Callithrix jacchus: one gene and its partners. The protein of the gene in region 1 interacts with the protein of each later gene in a pairwise test. Links are inferred from orthologs where the notes say so. Each region holds a gene or a part of one and is shown in the gene's direction. Other genes may lie near its edges.

Evidence for each region. The genes of interacting proteins can lie anywhere in the genome.
Region 2: the proteins of EGFR (region 1) and AKAP12 interact in binary tests that used the Homo sapiens proteins (3 or more experiments, as listed by UniProt). The link is inferred for Callithrix jacchus from reciprocal best matches to the Homo sapiens genes EGFR and AKAP12.
Region 3: the proteins of EGFR (region 1) and PRKCA interact in binary tests that used the Homo sapiens proteins (3 or more experiments, as listed by UniProt). The link is inferred for Callithrix jacchus from reciprocal best matches to the Homo sapiens genes EGFR and PRKCA.

What each region holds. Positions count from the first base shown.
Region 1 is NC_133512.1:22,474,398-22,479,620, forward strand, and holds the start of EGFR (epidermal growth factor receptor), read left to right. Parts: upstream 1-2,071; 5' UTR 2,072-2,329; coding exon 2,330-2,417; intron 2,418-5,223. UniProt on the Homo sapiens protein: Receptor tyrosine kinase binding ligands of the EGF family and activating several signaling cascades to convert extracellular cues into appropriate cellular responses.
Region 2 is NC_133505.1:158,182,893-158,188,015, forward strand, and holds part of AKAP12 (A-kinase anchor protein 12), read left to right. Parts: intron 1-1,171; exon of another isoform or gene 1,172-1,277; intron 1,278-2,750; coding exon 2,751-5,123. UniProt on the Homo sapiens protein: Anchoring protein that mediates the subcellular compartmentation of protein kinase A (PKA) and protein kinase C (PKC).
Region 3 is NC_133506.1:122,598,498-122,603,620, reverse strand, and holds part of PRKCA (protein kinase C alpha type), read left to right. Parts: intron 1-3,284; coding exon 3,285-3,441; intron 3,442-4,436; coding exon 4,437-4,571; intron 4,572-5,123. UniProt on the Homo sapiens protein: Calcium-activated, phospholipid- and diacylglycerol (DAG)-dependent serine/threonine-protein kinase that is involved in positive and negative regulation of cell proliferation, apoptosis, differentiation, migration and adhesion, tumorigenesis, cardiac hypertrophy, angiogenesis, platelet function and inflammation, by directly phosphorylating targets such as RAF1, BCL2, CSPG4, TNNT2/CTNT, or activating signaling cascade involving MAPK1/3 (ERK1/2) and RAP1GAP.

The sequences.
Region 1 (5,223 bases):
AACAGTAAAGTGGGACTATCCAGGGGCCAGCAGCCTTCCAAGCTGAGAGCCTCAGGGGCTGACAGCATTCAGGCTGAGGACCTCCAGCAGACTCTGACCCACGTAGTTATTCTTTCTGAACAGGCAATTATTATTAAAAAGCTGGTGCTCCGTGTTTTTTCATAGGACCAAGATAAACTAGGCAAGCAGCTGGTGCCTGCTTACCACTGATCAAGGACAGACTAGATATTCTCCACAAGGAAGCCACCAGACTGGGTCACATATCCCACGCTTAAAGAATTGTTTTAATCAGTGTATGATTTACATATTCCATCTCGCTACTTTATAATGCCCCAAGCAGTTTTCCACTTGGGGGGGGGACGGTGAGGGGGTCGGCTAGGTTTTCCTTGCCATCGTTCTTCTTAGCAAACAATATATTTTTATTATACACTCAACATTTCTTAACATAAATTGATTTGTGTTATGAGTTGTACACACAAGTCACATTCCCTTGACAGAAAACACAGTGGTCCTTGTTAACTGAATTCATACGACTTCACTGTACTCATGTCTTTTATTGTCAAACTCACTCCTGTCTTCATTTTGTGTTCCGCTGTTGTGCTTCCCGTTTGCCATTCCCTGGTTTTGTTTTTTCTTTGTTTCTTTATGGACTGCTCTCAGCCCAGGTGTGCATATGTGGAGGAAGCACACACGTGCCTGCAGAGCCGTCACAGCCTCTGCATCCAGGGGCTGACTTCAACCTGCAGTGGCTGTCCTGATTGGTTAAAACAAAGGAACAAATTACTTCTCCTGATTCACAGGGGAAGTTCCAGGTTGCAGCAGCGGTGAGGAGCTGGCAGTGAGGAGTCGGCGGTGAGGAGTTTGCGCTTGCCCTGCTGAAAACCCCACCGTTTAGGCTGCAGGGTGTGAAACTCTGGCACAGACAATTTGCTGGATGGGAAGGAAAGAAGCAAGGTTGCTCCCCTCCAGGGACAGCAAAGGGCAGCAAAGGGCTCCACTTACTTCAGGAGTGTGGTTCTTGACAGAGCCGGGAGATCAAGGTTGTTGAATCAGGCCGGAAAGTCCTAGTGAACCTTGTGGAGAGGAGGGGTCTGTAACATGGACCTAGAGGGCATTTTTCCTGTAGGAGAAGGAACAGTGGGGATAGGGTGCACTTGCAGAAGGAATGTAGCTCAAGTTCCTGCAGCCCAAAGCAGCTCAGTTTCTTCCGGCCAAAGCCTCTGCGAATTTCCCTGGCATTTCTCCTGTGGGAGCTACCAGGGCAGTGGGACACTTAGCCTCTCTAAAAGTATCTCCACGGCTGTTTGTGTCAAGCGTTTATTCCAAGAGCTTCCCTTTTGCGAAGTACTGTGCCTCACACATTGGCTCAAATTACCCAGGGTCGGTTACAATAAACATTGAGGAGGCCTGTATCTGAGCTCGGAGTTGGGTACCCTCATTTCATTCAATTTCGAGGGTGCTTGACGGGATCTGAAGGACCCTCGGACTTTGGATCAGCACCTCGGACGCCTGGCACTCCTGCTGCACAGGCACGGCAACCGCCTCAGCTGCCAGGCCAGCCTCTGAGCCCTGGGAGGGTCCCAGGGTGCTGCAGGGGAGGTGGGGACCAGAATAAAAGAGCAGTTTCCCCGTCGGTGCCATTATCCGACGCTGGCTCTAGGGCTTGGCCAATCTGTCCAAAGCTGGTACAAGTTTGCTTTGTAAAACAAAAGAAGGGAAAGGGGGAAGGGGACCCTGGCACAGATTTGGCTCCATCTCAGCATAAGCTGGGCCTGCAAGTCCATGGAGACTGAGTCCAGAGGAGCAGTGCTGGGAACGCCCCTCTCGGAAATTAACTCCTCAGGGCACCCGCTCCCCTCCCACGCGCCGCCCCTTTCCTGCCGGAGCCCGGGTCCCGCGGGGGTCACCGCTGTCCACCGCCTCCGGCGGCCGCTGGCTTTGGGTCCCTGCTGCTGGTTCTCGTCCCTCCTCCTCGCATTCTCCTCCTCCTCCGCTCCTCCCGATCCCTCCTCCGCCGCCTGGTCCCTCCTCCTCCCGCCCAGCCTTCCCCACGTCCCGGCCCGCGCGAGCTAGACGTCCGGGCAGCCCCCGCGCCGCGCGGCCGCAGCAGCCTCCGCCCCCCGCACGGTGTGAGAGCCCTCCGCGACCAAGGCGGCTGGAGTCCCGAGCGAGTCCCGGGGGCCGCCGCCGCCCAGCCGGGACGACAACCCACCTCGGCGGCGTCCGCCCGAGTCCCCGCCTCGCCGCCGCCACAGCCACCGCGCACGGCCGCCTGACTCCGTCCAGGACTGATCCAGGAGCGTCGGAGCGAGCTCTTCGGGGAGCAGCGATGCGACCCTCAGGGACGGCAGGGGCCGCGCTCCTGGCTCTGCTGGCTGCGCTCTGCCCAGCGAGTCTGGCTCTGGAGGAAAAGAAAGGTAAGGGCGTGTCTCGCCGGCTCCCGAGCCGCCCCCGGAGCGCGCCCCGGACCCCGCAGCTAGCCCAGCCGCGCACCGGCGCACCGGCTCGGTGCCCGCGCCCCCGCCCGTCCGTTCCTGTTTCCTTGAGATCAGCTGCGCTGCCGGCCGGGACCGCGGGAGGAACGGGACGTTTCGTCCCTGGCCGGGAGAGTCCGCGGCGGGCGGAGGAGGAGACGGGGAGGGCACCGGGCTGCGGGCGGGGCGGAGAACGGCAGCTGGCACCTCCTGCGGTCCCGACCGCTCCCAACTTTTCTCCCTTACTTTCCCGCCTCTCTGCGCGGGATCGGCGTCCGCGGCCCGGTGGGCGCCGGGAGCCGGGGTCCCGCATGGCGCCCCGCGTTGTCCTCCCAGGGCACGGCGGGGTCGGAACGCGCACCCGAGGGGCCAGCGCTGCCCACCCGCAGGGCCGCGCGGTTTAGGGAAGCTGAGGAAGGACCCCGAGAATGCAGCCTCCCCTCGGACCCCGCGGGACAGGCGGCTTCCTGAGCTGACCTCCCGCCTCCGCCCTCCGCGCGAGTCTCACGCTGAAGCCGGCGTGGGTCAGCCTGGCCCCGGCGCCTCTCCGGGTCCCCGCGAGCCTCGTTCCCGGGTGTGGAGTAGCAGCCTTCACCTGGGAGCTGGGAGAACTCGTCTGCCACCACCTGCGGCTCCCGGGAAGGGGTGGTGCTGGCGGCGGTTAGTTTCCTCCTTGGCAAAAGGCAGGTGGGGTCCGACCCGCCCCTTGGGCGCAGACCCCGGCCGGCGGCTCGCCCCGCCCGGCGCGCTCTAGTTCGGCCGGTCCAGGTGTGTCCCGCTGAGGACCCGACCTCCCTCCGGGGCGCCCCCCCCCGAAAGCCCCGGGCTCTGGTTCGGTGGCCATGTCGCGGGTTTTCCACGCCTGCAACCCTTCGGTCGAGCCTGGGCTTCGCGGTGGAACGGGACGCGGCTGTCCGGCCACTCCAGAGGGGGACCGCGGGACTCTTGCGCGGAAGCTCAAGGAGCAGAGCCGGTCCTGGCCACACCACGGTGTTTCAAAACGGGGCTCACAGCAAACTTTCCTTCTCAAAACCCGGGGAGTTTCTTTCTTGGATGTTTCTCTTTGCCGTTTGAAGAATTTGACATTGGGCCAACCAAAATATTAAACCTGTCATACACACACACACACACACACACACCAGATTGATGTCCCTGGTTCACGTGTGCCAAGTCTCCAGACAGAACATGAGCGAGTCTGGCTTCGTGACTACCCTCATAAACCCATCTGACATGGGAAACATGCCTCAGGTTTAATTGCACAATTCCAGCCTTGAGCTGCGCGGGTTCCAGGAGCCAGGCCCGTACTTGCTGTTGATGTCACTGGCATGAGGCGTTGGGGTTTGGTGCCCAGCGCCGTTGTTGGGGGAGGGACAAGGCATAGAACAGTGGTTCCCAGACCTTGCTGCAGTTTAGAATTACCTGGGATTTTTTAAAACCAAAACAGAAACCAGTGTCTGGCTCCCACCCCCAGACATTCTGATTTAATTGACATGGGGCAAGACCTGGATATGGTATTTTTAAAAATGCTTTTCATGTGATCTGTTGGGCAGCCAGGTTTGGGGATCACTGCACGGAAGAAGGATTGTTAAAGTCTCCGGAGAGATTACTTGCCAATGCAAAGAGCTCTTTGAGGACATCTGGAGTTTTAACAATCTTGCCAAATATAGGAAAGAGGGGAAAGGTAGGGTGTGATTCCAATAATAAAGGATTTCTCTTCTCACTGAAGGAACTCTTGGAAAGATTCCTCCTCTGCTGAGCCTACGCGACCCTGTGAGTCAGGTGCCAGCCCTGTCTCTGCGGAAGAGCAGAGACTCTTCTCTTTATTTTAAATTAAACATGCAGAGCACCTCCAAAGCATCACTTTCCTCCCTCCAGCGGTGTTCTTGTTCTTTGATGTTACTAGCTTGAACACCTGTATTAGTGGCTGGAGATTTGTTCCTAAGAAAAATATAAATACCACTTAATTTGCCTGTTGGTCCCATATTCACCCAAAACAGAATGCTCCTGAAGACGACAGAGAGTAGGTGAACAGACGCTATTCCATTACGGTGACATAAAAGACTGAATGTTCAGGGGCAATTATTAAAATAGGAGATGAGCTCTTTCAGCAGAAGTTTGTTGAAGGCCTGTGTCTATCAAGTTCAGTCGGTTTTGTTCAAGGTGCACTTTGGTTCCGGGACATGCTAACTTCTGGGCTTGCTGCTCTTAGAGCAAAAGACTGCCACACACTGTTTCATGCATCCTTTCAGTCCTCACATTAAGCATAAGAGGCATGCGCTCCCCTCCTATGGGGGAAACTGAGGTACAAAGGATTAAAGTGACTTTCTCGAGGCTGCTAGGCAGCAGCGTGAAATTCACATGCAGGCCTTCCGACTCCAGATGCCTCTCTCAACTTCCAAACGCCACTGCCTCGTCAGAGTTCTGGTTTCAGGCGATCCAGGTCAGGTGTGTGCGAGTGTTTAATGTCAGAGCTAGCAATGGGAAAGAGCCCAGAAAGCCGGCTCATGAAGATGGGCCCCTGTCTGAAGCTTGAACAACCATGGGCTGCCAGCAATCTGCTTTCCTGCTGAGTTCTTCGGCCCTCTGTCTGGTCACTTTCCATGGAGGCTGCTCAGTCCCCAGGTCAGTGAGCATGGAGTGGAACCTGCTTGAGGGATGCTGAACAAACCCCTGACTCTTACAGGATGAAGTGGTAAAGGTGCTCCCCCGAAGGGACCCTGGGAAGTACTCCACAGGAAGTCAGAATTCC
Region 2 (5,123 bases), on another chromosome or scaffold:
GATCATGCTGGGCACCTCTGGTTGTTGTGTTCCTTAAATCTCTTAATTAACACAGTACTTTCTCCTCCACCTCCCCCCATTAAATCACATTGACTTGACTTTTCCCCTCAATGATTTTAAAATTACAAACCTGGAAAAACATAGTAAACACTTCTGTGCACTTGACCTAATTCACCATTTATGGAGAGCTACATCATCCGCCCACCACCCCCACCAAGCTATTTGAAAGTTACTTGCAGACAATCCTTTTTGTGTTTCTGCTTGATTTTCATTTTTCCGTGACATTGTTATTTCAGGCCAGGCTAGTCATTTTGCAGAACGTCCTTCATTGTGGATTTGTCTGTTTGTGTCCTCATGATGAGATGAGATGCTGTTAAATATTTTGGTCAGGACGTAGATGAATTCTTGTCCTTCTGAGTGCCTCACACCGGGAATCGAAATGCAATCTGTCCCATTATTGAGGATGTTAAATTTGATCACTTGGTTAAGGTGGTGCCTGCCAGATTTCTCCATTGTCAAGGTCATTCTTGTGAAATTAAGTAATGTGTGTGTCGGTACGCTGAATGTATGTTTCCTGACAGCCTTTTACCCGATGGCTTTAGCAGTCTGTGATCCTTGACTAAATGAGTTTTTTTGTGTTTTTTTTTTTTTTTGAGATGGAGTCTTGTTCTGTCGCTATCTCGGCTCACTGCAACCTCCACCTCCTGGGTTCAAGCAATTCTTCCGCCTCAGCCTCCCGAGTAGCTGGCACTACAGGAGCATGTCACCATGCCAGGCTATTTTTTTGTATTTTTAGTAGAGACAAGGTTTCACCATGTTAGCTAGGATGGTCTCGATCTCTTGACCTCATAATCTGCCTGCCTCGGCCTCCCAAAGTGCTGGGATTACAGGTGTGAGCCACTGCGCCCTGTAATCCCAGCACTTAGCACCAGTCTGAATAAATGAATTATTAAAATGGTGCTTGCAAATTGTGATTTTCTAAATCTAAAATTTTAAGATAATGACTTTGAGGATCAAAGTGGAAGTTATATCTATATTTATTGACCTTTTTTCCTTAAGAAAGTGCTCCCTGCTCCCTATTTACATTTTTTCGTATCACTCTCGATTCATGGATTCTTTTTTTATTCAATGTGCTGTAACTCATCAATGTCATTATTCTCTTTCATTTTCATGTCAGGTGAGTGATGTGCACAATCGTCGTAACAAGGTTTGAGGGTGGCACAGTCTCACACATGCTCGTGAACACCCAATCGTCACTATCGTGAACTATCAAGGATCCATTATTCTTTTTTATGCTTCAAAGTTTGGGCATTGGGAGCCCCTTCAAGCCAGCTCTTGTGTCCTTTTGACATACCTCTGTCAGCTTTTGAGCATCTTCTTTCAGTCACAAGAAAATATTTTTCATACACCCTATGACCCAGCCTGGAATTTCTCCAAAGAGCTCTGGTCCCTTATGGGGACCTGTTGAGACTTAGTTACCACATAGAATGTCCCCTCTTTTGGATTTGTGTGGATACTTGTTTGTTCTTTAGCTTGTTTCTCAAACTCTATATTTCCTATTAAGTGGGAAGTTGTATCTAAAACTTGATGGATTCTTGTTTAAAATATGGATGTGGGCCGGGCACAGTGGCTCACGCCTGTAACCCCAGCACTTTGGGAGGCCGAGGCAGGTGGATCACGAGGTCAAGAGATTGAGACCATCCTGGTCAACATGGTGAAACCCCGTCTCTACTAAAAATACAAAAAGTTAGCTGGGCACGGTGGTGTGTGCCTGTAGTCCCAGCTACTCAGGAGGCTGAGGCAGGAGAATTGCCTGAACCCAGGAGGCGGAGGTTGCGGTGAGCCGAGATCATGCCATCGCACTCCAGCCTGGGTAACAAGAGCGAAACTCCATCTCAAAAAAAAAAAATATATGGGTGTGATGTGGGATTCCATCTTACATTGCAACGGAAGATACACTGTCTGGTTGACTCACTCTTAGGGGTGCCGTGACTACTTACGTGAAACTAATTTTTTGATAGTTAAGTTTGTCGACTTTCCCTTTAACAGGCTACAGTAAGAGCAGATGATTCTCTTTGAACCTGAATTTTTAAAGGTCGTTGGAAGGAAGTAGACATTAATCTATTAAGATTTACAAATCTCTAGCCAGGCCTGGTGGCATATGCCTGTAGTCCCAGCTACTTGGGAGGCTGAGGCAGGAGAATCACTTGAACCCAGGAGGCGGAGGTTGCGGTGAGCTGAGATCACACCACTGCACTCCAGCCTGGGTGGTAAGAGCGAAACTCCATCTCAATATTAAAAAAAGATTTACACATCTCCATGAGATCTCACTTTGTCCTCGAGTTGCCTGTCATTAAAGAAAATATTAATTGGTCGTGTTTTTAAGATATTTAATTTTCGTGGGCTGGGCACAGTGGTTCACACCTATAATCCCACCACTTTAAGAAACTAAGGCAGGAGGATTGCTGGACCCCAGCAGCTGGAGACCAGCCTGGACCCACATAGTGAGATCTCATCTCTACAGAAAATAAAAAGTTAGCTGGACATTGTGGGATGTGCCTGTAGTCCCAGCTACCCGGGAGGCTGAGGTGGGAGGACTGCTTGAGCCTGGGAGGTTGAAGCTGCAGTGAATGGAGACCACACCATTGCCCTCCAGCCTGGGCAACAGAGTCGCGCCCTGTCTCAGAAAAACGATTTTCTTGAATTGTAATCATCTTTTCTCTTCTCCCCACCCCGCTTTTTGTTAATAGTTGGGCAGAGAGACTCTGAAGATGTGAGCAAAGGAGACTCTGATAAGGAGATGGCTGCTAAGTCAACAGTTGATCAAGACGTCAGAGACGACGGGCAGGAGGAGAGCCCCGAAATCCTCGACCAGATTCCTTCTTCAGAAAGCAATTTGGAAGAGCTAACACAATCTACAGAGTCCCAGGCTAATGATGTTGGATTTAAGAAGGTGTTTAAGTTTGTCGGCTTTAAATTCACTGTGAAAAAGGATAAGACAGAGAAGCCTGACACTGTCCAGCTACTCACTGTGAAAAAAGATGAAGGGGAAGGAGCAGCAGGGGATGGCGATCACCAGGACCCCAGCGCGGGGGCTGGAGAAGCAGCCTCCAAAGAAAGCGAACTCAAACAATCCACAGAGAAACCCGAAGAGAACCTGAAGCACGAGCAAAGCCACGCTGAAATTTCTCCTCCAGCCGAAGCTGGCCAAGCCGTGGAGGAATGCAAAGAGGAAGGAGAAGAGAAACAAGAAAAAGAACCCAGCAAGTCTGCAGAGTCCCCAGCGAGTCCCGTGACGACTGAAACAGCATCAACCTTCAAAAAATTCTTCACTCAAGGTTGGGCCGGCTGGCGAAAAAAGACCAGTTTCAGGAAGCCGAAGGAGGATGAACTGGAAGCTTCAGAGAAGAAAAAGGAACAAGAGCCAGAAAAAGACGCAGAAGAAAACGGAAAGGCAGAGGCCTCCTCCGAGCAGGCTCAGCCACAGGAGATGGCGGATAGCACCCCCGAGCCCCGGTTATCAGCTGAATATGAGAAAGTTGAGCTGCCCTCGGAGGAGGAGGTCAGTGGCTCGCAGGGACCTTCTGAAGAGAAACCCGCTCCGCTGGCGACAGAAGTGTTTGATGAGAAAATAGAAGGCCACCAGGAAGAGGTTGTGGCCGATGTCCACATCAGCACCGCAGAGGAGAGAACCGAGGAGCAGGAAGCAGAGGTGGAAGAAACGGCAGGGTCGGTACCTGCTGAAGAATTGGTTGAAATGAATGCAGAACCTCAGGAAGCCGAACCTGCCAAGGAGCTGGTGAAACTCAAAGACACGTGTGTTTCCGGAGTGGACCCTGTGCAGGGAGCTGACCTCAGTCCTGATGAGAAGGCACTGTCCAAGCCCCCCGAAGGCTTTGTGAGTGAGGTGGAGCTGCTGTCATCACAGGAGAGAATGAAGGTGCAGGGAAGTCCACTCAAGAAGCTTTTTACCAGCACTGGCTTAAAAAAGCTTTCTGGAAAGAAACAGAAAGGGAAAAGAGGAGGCGGAGATGAGGACTCAGGGGAGCACACTCAGGTTCCCGCCGATTCTCCGGACAGCCACGAGGAGCAGAAGGGGGACAGCTCGGCCTCGTCCCCCGAGGAGCCCGAGGAGATCACGTGTCTGGAGAAGGGCTTAGCCGAGGTGCACCAGGACGGGGAAGCTGAAGAAGGAGCTACTTCCGATGGAGAGAAAAAAAGAGAAGGTGTCACTCCCTGGGCATCATTCAAAAAGATGGTGACACCCAAGAAGCGCGTTAGACGGCCTTCGGAAAGTGACAAAGAAGATGAGCTGGACAAGGTCAAGAGCGCTACCTTGTCTTCCACCGAGAGCGCAGCCTCTGAAATGCAAGAAGAAATGAAAGGGAGCGTGGAAGAGCAAAAGCCAGAAGAACCGAAGCGCAAGGTGGATACCTCAGTATCTTGGGAAGCTTTAATTTGTGTGGGATCATCCAAGAAAAGAGCAAGGAAAGGGTCCTCCTCTGATGAGGAAGGGGGGCCAAAAACAATGGGAGGAGACCACCAGAAAACAGATGAGCCCGGAAGAGACAAAGAGACGGGGACAGACAGGACCCTTGCGGATTCCCAAGAACATGAGCCCGGGCAGGGCTGTTCATCCCCTGAGCAAGCTGGAAGCCCTACTGAAGGGGAGGGTGTTTCCACCTGGGAGTCATTTAAAAGGTTAGTCACGCCAAGAAAAAAATCCAAGTCCAAGCTGGAAGAGAAAAACGAAGACTCCGTAGCTGGGTCTGGTGTAGAACATTCCACTCCAGATGCTGAACCCGGGAAAGAAGAATCCTGGGTCTCAATCAAGAAGTTTATTCCTGGACGAAGGAAGAAAAGGCCAGATGGGAAGCAAGAACAAGTCCCTGCTGAAGACGCAGGGCCAGCAGGCGCCAACGAAGATGACTCTGATGTCCCAGCCGTGGTCCCTCTGTCAGAGTATGACGCTGTAGAAAGGGAGAAAATGGAGGCACAGCAAGCCCAGAAAAGCATAGAGCAGCCCGAACACCAGGAAGCTGCTGAGGTGTCCAAGGAGCTCAGTGACAGTCAGGGTCATATGGTGGCGGCAGCTGTCATTGATGGGACCAGGGCAGCTGCCA
Region 3 (5,123 bases), on another chromosome or scaffold:
TGTACTGTTCTCCTCGGCATTTGCAGATGCTGTCGATGCAGTTTCTGGACATCTAAGCCTTGTTGATTTTCTTCTCCACCAGTGACTTGTATTAAGAACAATTAGGATCATCACTATCATGCTCTCACCATGTGCCAATCACTGTTCTAAGCACTTAATATGTATGAGCCTACATAATCCTGACGAAGGAGATACAAGTTTTGAGATGAGGAAACTTGGGAGATAAAATAACTTGCCCACAACTACAGAGTGGCAGAGCCAGAATTCAAATGCAGGCAGCCTTGCCCCAGATCCCACACTCCGAGCAGATGGGACCCCCAAGTTAGTTGCTCATAATCCTGATTAAGGTGTCCTGGCATGCCATGAGTCACACATCACACAGGCTGTTCTCTGCTGCGATAAGAAATTGAAATTTGGACCCACTGTCCGCCTCAATGACATTTGGAATTGATAACTCTTTTTATTTTCTACTTAAATGATAGTATCTCAGTAGGAAGCTCACAGCTTTAAATCCCATCAAGATTTTAACTCATCACCATTCAGAAGAGATCATACTTCCATGATTGTGTGTGTGTATGTATGTGTGTTGTCAGGAATATAAATTGAAGACTTAAAAGCAGATGCCCACAATAATTCTGCAACCCAGGAGCTCTTGGTGGCCTTGATAAGGGTCTTCATTGGCTTATCCTGTATGTGACCTTCTGCAGCCTCCAGTGTTAGACATTCTGGGGCATTTTCTACCTTTAAAAAGCAGCTGATTCTCATTCTGGTGTTTAATCAGAGATAGACCATTGGCCTCTTTCCACTCCTCATGAGAGAGCTCCATTTTTATGCTCACATTTTTCATCTTTTGTGATACTTAGGGTTGATGTTTTAGGGGCAAGACCTTCTGCATTGGATTAAAACCTTTCACAGGAGCTTGGTGAATTCTTGAGTGCCCAGGTTCCCTGGGGGCCTCCAACCCTCTGGATTTCAGAATGATAAGAGTGGACACAAGTCTGAAACGCTGTTTCCGGGCTGTAGTGAGCACTCACATCATGGATTTTTTTTTTTTCCATTTTCTAAGACCCCAACAATGTAAGGTTTTTTATAAACATTATTTTCTTTGATTTTCCCAACAGTCTGTACCACTGGAATTATGCCCCTCTTCATTTTTCTAGATGAAGAAACAGAGGCTCAGAGACTCAGCTTCCCTGTGCTCAGGGTTACCTGGTGAGACACCTGCTGAGCCACGGGGATCATGCCTGTTTGTTTTATTTATGTGCTCCCCGAGATGAATGAGGTCAGATACTTTCTTAGGAGAAGACATACTTGGAAGGCACCAGTGGGGTGTGATAGACATATGTTCAGCTTCTCTGTGGCTAGCAGACCTGAGCCAGTCCCCTCCCCTTCTCTGACTATTTGAATTTAGTCCCATCTGTTACCCACCTCTGTAAGGTTGCCAGGTAAGGAAGACATAAGGCTGTTGGCTGGCAGGAGACAGCACACAGTAGGTCCACAGACTAGTAAAGGCAGTGCCTATTTCTGACTTCTGATCCTAGGGCTGTACCTCCCACATGTTTGTCCAAAGACCCAACATCTTTAGGGTTCTCCCCTGCCCCGCCCCCTTCCCATCTAGCCCTGCCCACTGCCAACTCCAGTGCTTGCTTCTAAATTCCTCTCTAATTCTTAGTTTAACAATCAAACTATGCTGATAAACTATGCTATTTGCCTAGATCCATGGTTCTGGACTTTTATGGACATCAGAATCACCTGGAGGCTTGGTAAATATAGCTCATTGGACTCCACCCCAGAGTTCTGATTCAGAAGGTGATGCCAGTTCCGCTGGACCAGTTCCAGGGACCACACTGTGGGAACCACTGGACTGGGGAGCCTGGTCCCAGTTATACGCGTGCTGATGGTGTCTGACCAGTTAGGGATCTGATAATTCTGCCTTACTGGGGAAGATGCCATTGGAAGATAACGAGGAAGGCATTTGGGGTAGGAGGCTGAAGGCTTTGTCTATTCATCATAGCAGTGGATAAATTACCTTTTACATTGATGTGCAGTGGCTTTAGACAGCTTCTCACTGTTGTGAGCCTCTGCCAGCCATTGAATCTCAGACCTGCCTTCCTCTGGGTGAAATGGCCTTTCTTTCTAATTATTTTTGATTCCCATATCAGGTTTTTCAAACTAGGATTGCATTGAAAGCACCTGGAGGTCTTGTTAAAGTGAGGATTCAGAGTTATTAAGTCCAAGGATAGGGCTCACGGTTCTGCGTGTCTAATGAGCTCCCACGTGATGTAGATGCTGCGGGTCCATGGACCAGCACCTCGTAGCAATTCTGAATTATAGCTGTGTATAGCTTGCCCCTGCTGCCCAATAGAATCACCCAAGGAGCTTTTAAAAACAAATACTTGGCCAGGCTGGGTGGCTCACGACTGTAATCCCAGCACTTTGGGAGGCCAAGGCGGGTGGATCACAAGGTCAGGAGTTCAAGACCACCCTGACCAACATGGTAAAACCCTGTCTCTACTGAAAATACAAAAATTAGCCCGGTATGGTGGCCTGTAATCCCAGCTACTCGGGAAGCTGAGGCAGGAGAATCACTTGAACCCAAGAGGCGGAGGTTACAATGAGCCAAGATCATACCACTGTGCTCCAGCCTGGGCGACAGAGCGAGACTTTGTCTCAAAAACAAACAAATAAAAACCAATATTTGAGCCACATTCCCTGGAAATTATAGTTTAATTGTGGGGTTTAGAATTTTTAACACCCCCATTCCCCAACCCCCATGTGATTTCAATGTACAGCCAGGGTTGGAAACCATTGGTCGTTACCCACAAAATGGGGTAACACCTTCCCAGAGCTCAGCTCCATGTGAGCGCCAGAGACTAGGTCGGACTGGCTGCTTCCGTGTAGGGAGGGTGCACCATACTCCTGGGAAGCTGCACAGGTCACCTGGGAATCTTGTTAAATTGTGGATTCTTCTTGGTCAGGTTTGGGGTGGGACCTGGGTTTCTGCATTTCTAATAGATAATCTGAGTGTTGCTGATGCTGCCAGTCGAGGCTGGTGCTGAGTCTCCAGACGCGCCCACAAGGGCCCACATGATGCCCGTTATCTCTGCCAGTGATGGCAGCGGGTACCTTTTCTCAAGCCGAGCATTAGAGGCTTTTGTTTCCACCTTTTCTCTCCCTAAACGCCATCCTGACGTCTCTTTTATTCAGCTTGGTATTGACACAGGACACTGGGCAATATAGGTTTGTTCTCTTTTTGTAATCTTTTCTTCCTTCTCTCTTCACAGTACGAGACGCAAAAAATCTAATCCCTATGGACCCAAACGGGCTTTCAGATCCTTATGTGAAGCTGAAACTCATTCCTGATCCCAAGAACGAAAGCAAACAAAAAACCAAAACCATCCGCTCCACGCTAAATCCCCAGTGGAATGAGTCCTTTACCTTGTAAGTGGTCCCTCTCCTTGATAAAATTTCGTTCCCATACGCCATGCAGTTGCCCACCTCATTATTTGAGATGATGAAGTAGGCTGCTTATAAATGTCTTTAAACATGTCTTCAGTCCTAAGATCTCCTCAGGCTGCCATTAGGGAGGTAGCTATTAGTACCTGTTGGATAGATGGTAATTATGATACCAAGAGTTGCATAATTCAGGCCTCAAATTATTATTATCTAATCTGGATAAATGTATCAGGTATGTCCACCTCTTGATGGATTTAGGTTCTTTTGAGAGTTAGGGGAGGGCATAAGGCGAGAATTTAAATAATTTTTAGATCACAGAATGAGTGAGCGACATAGAAAGTGTTATTGCCACTGAAACGGGAAGATCATTCTTGCCTTCAAAGAGAGAATTCCTGGAAAATGTGACATTTAAAGTCAGCCTGGGAGGGCTGCCCGGGTTTCAGAGGTAGAGACGGTAGAAGGGGAAGAAGGAAATAAATAAGTCAGGAGGACTGAGGGCAGCTGAGCAAAAGCAAGAGGTCCTCTTTGTAGACTAGTAACAGGAGGCAGTTTTTCTGTGGACAGCCAGAAAGGTAGCTCTCTATTCTAGAGGGACCAGCAAGTTCTGCTCTGTGAAGGACCAGAGAGTATATATTTGAGGCTTTGTGAGTCATACGGTCTCTGTTGCACCTCTGTAACTCTAACTTTCTAGTGCCAAAGCAGCCATAGACAATATGGAAACAAATAGCCATGGCTGCATTCTAATAAATCTTTATTTATAGAAATAGACTGGGCCAGATTTGGCCCATGGGTCATAGTTTATTAACTCCTCCTGTAGAGCTTTGGTTGCCAGCATAAGGTTTGGTATTTTACTGGACCAGTAAGAGAATTAAATATACTAATTCTCTATCTCAGTCTCAAGTCACGTACATGTGTTATCTCCCAATAAAACCACAAGCAAGATAACCTGGTGTTTGCGTGTGTGTGTGTGTGTCTTGCAGCAAATTGAAACCTTCAGACAAAGACCGGCGACTGTCTGTAGAAATCTGGGACTGGGATCGAACAACAAGGAATGACTTCATGGGATCCCTTTCCTTTGGAGTTTCGGAGCTAATGAAGATGCCAGCCAGTGGCTGGTATGGAAGCCATTTAGGTTGAATATGTCTCAAAGCATCAGACCATTTAGACAGTTAGGCTTAAGTCCCTAAAATGTCAGTTGAGACAGGACATGGTGCCTTACACCTATAACGCCAGCACTTCAGGAGGCTGAGGCAGGTGGATTGCTGAGTCCAAAAGTTTGAGACCAGCCTGGGCAACATGGAAAAACCCCATCTCTACAAAAAATACAAAAATTGGCCGGGTGTGGTGGTATGCACCTGTAGTCTCAGCTACTCAGGAGGCTGAGGTGTGAGGATCACTTGAGCCCAGGAGGCTGCACCATTGCACTCCAGCCTGGGCAACAGAGCTATCCTGTCTCAAAAAATAAAGAAAGAAAGAAAATAAAGAAAAAGTCAGTTAAACGTCTACTTATGGCCAGGCTGGGTATGGTGGCTCATGTCTATAAACCCAACACTTTGGGAGGCCAAGGAGGGCAGATCACGAGGTCAGGAGTTTGAGACCAGCCAGTTCGAGACCATCCTGGCCAACATGGCGAAACCCTGTCTCTACTAAAAATACAAAGATTAGCC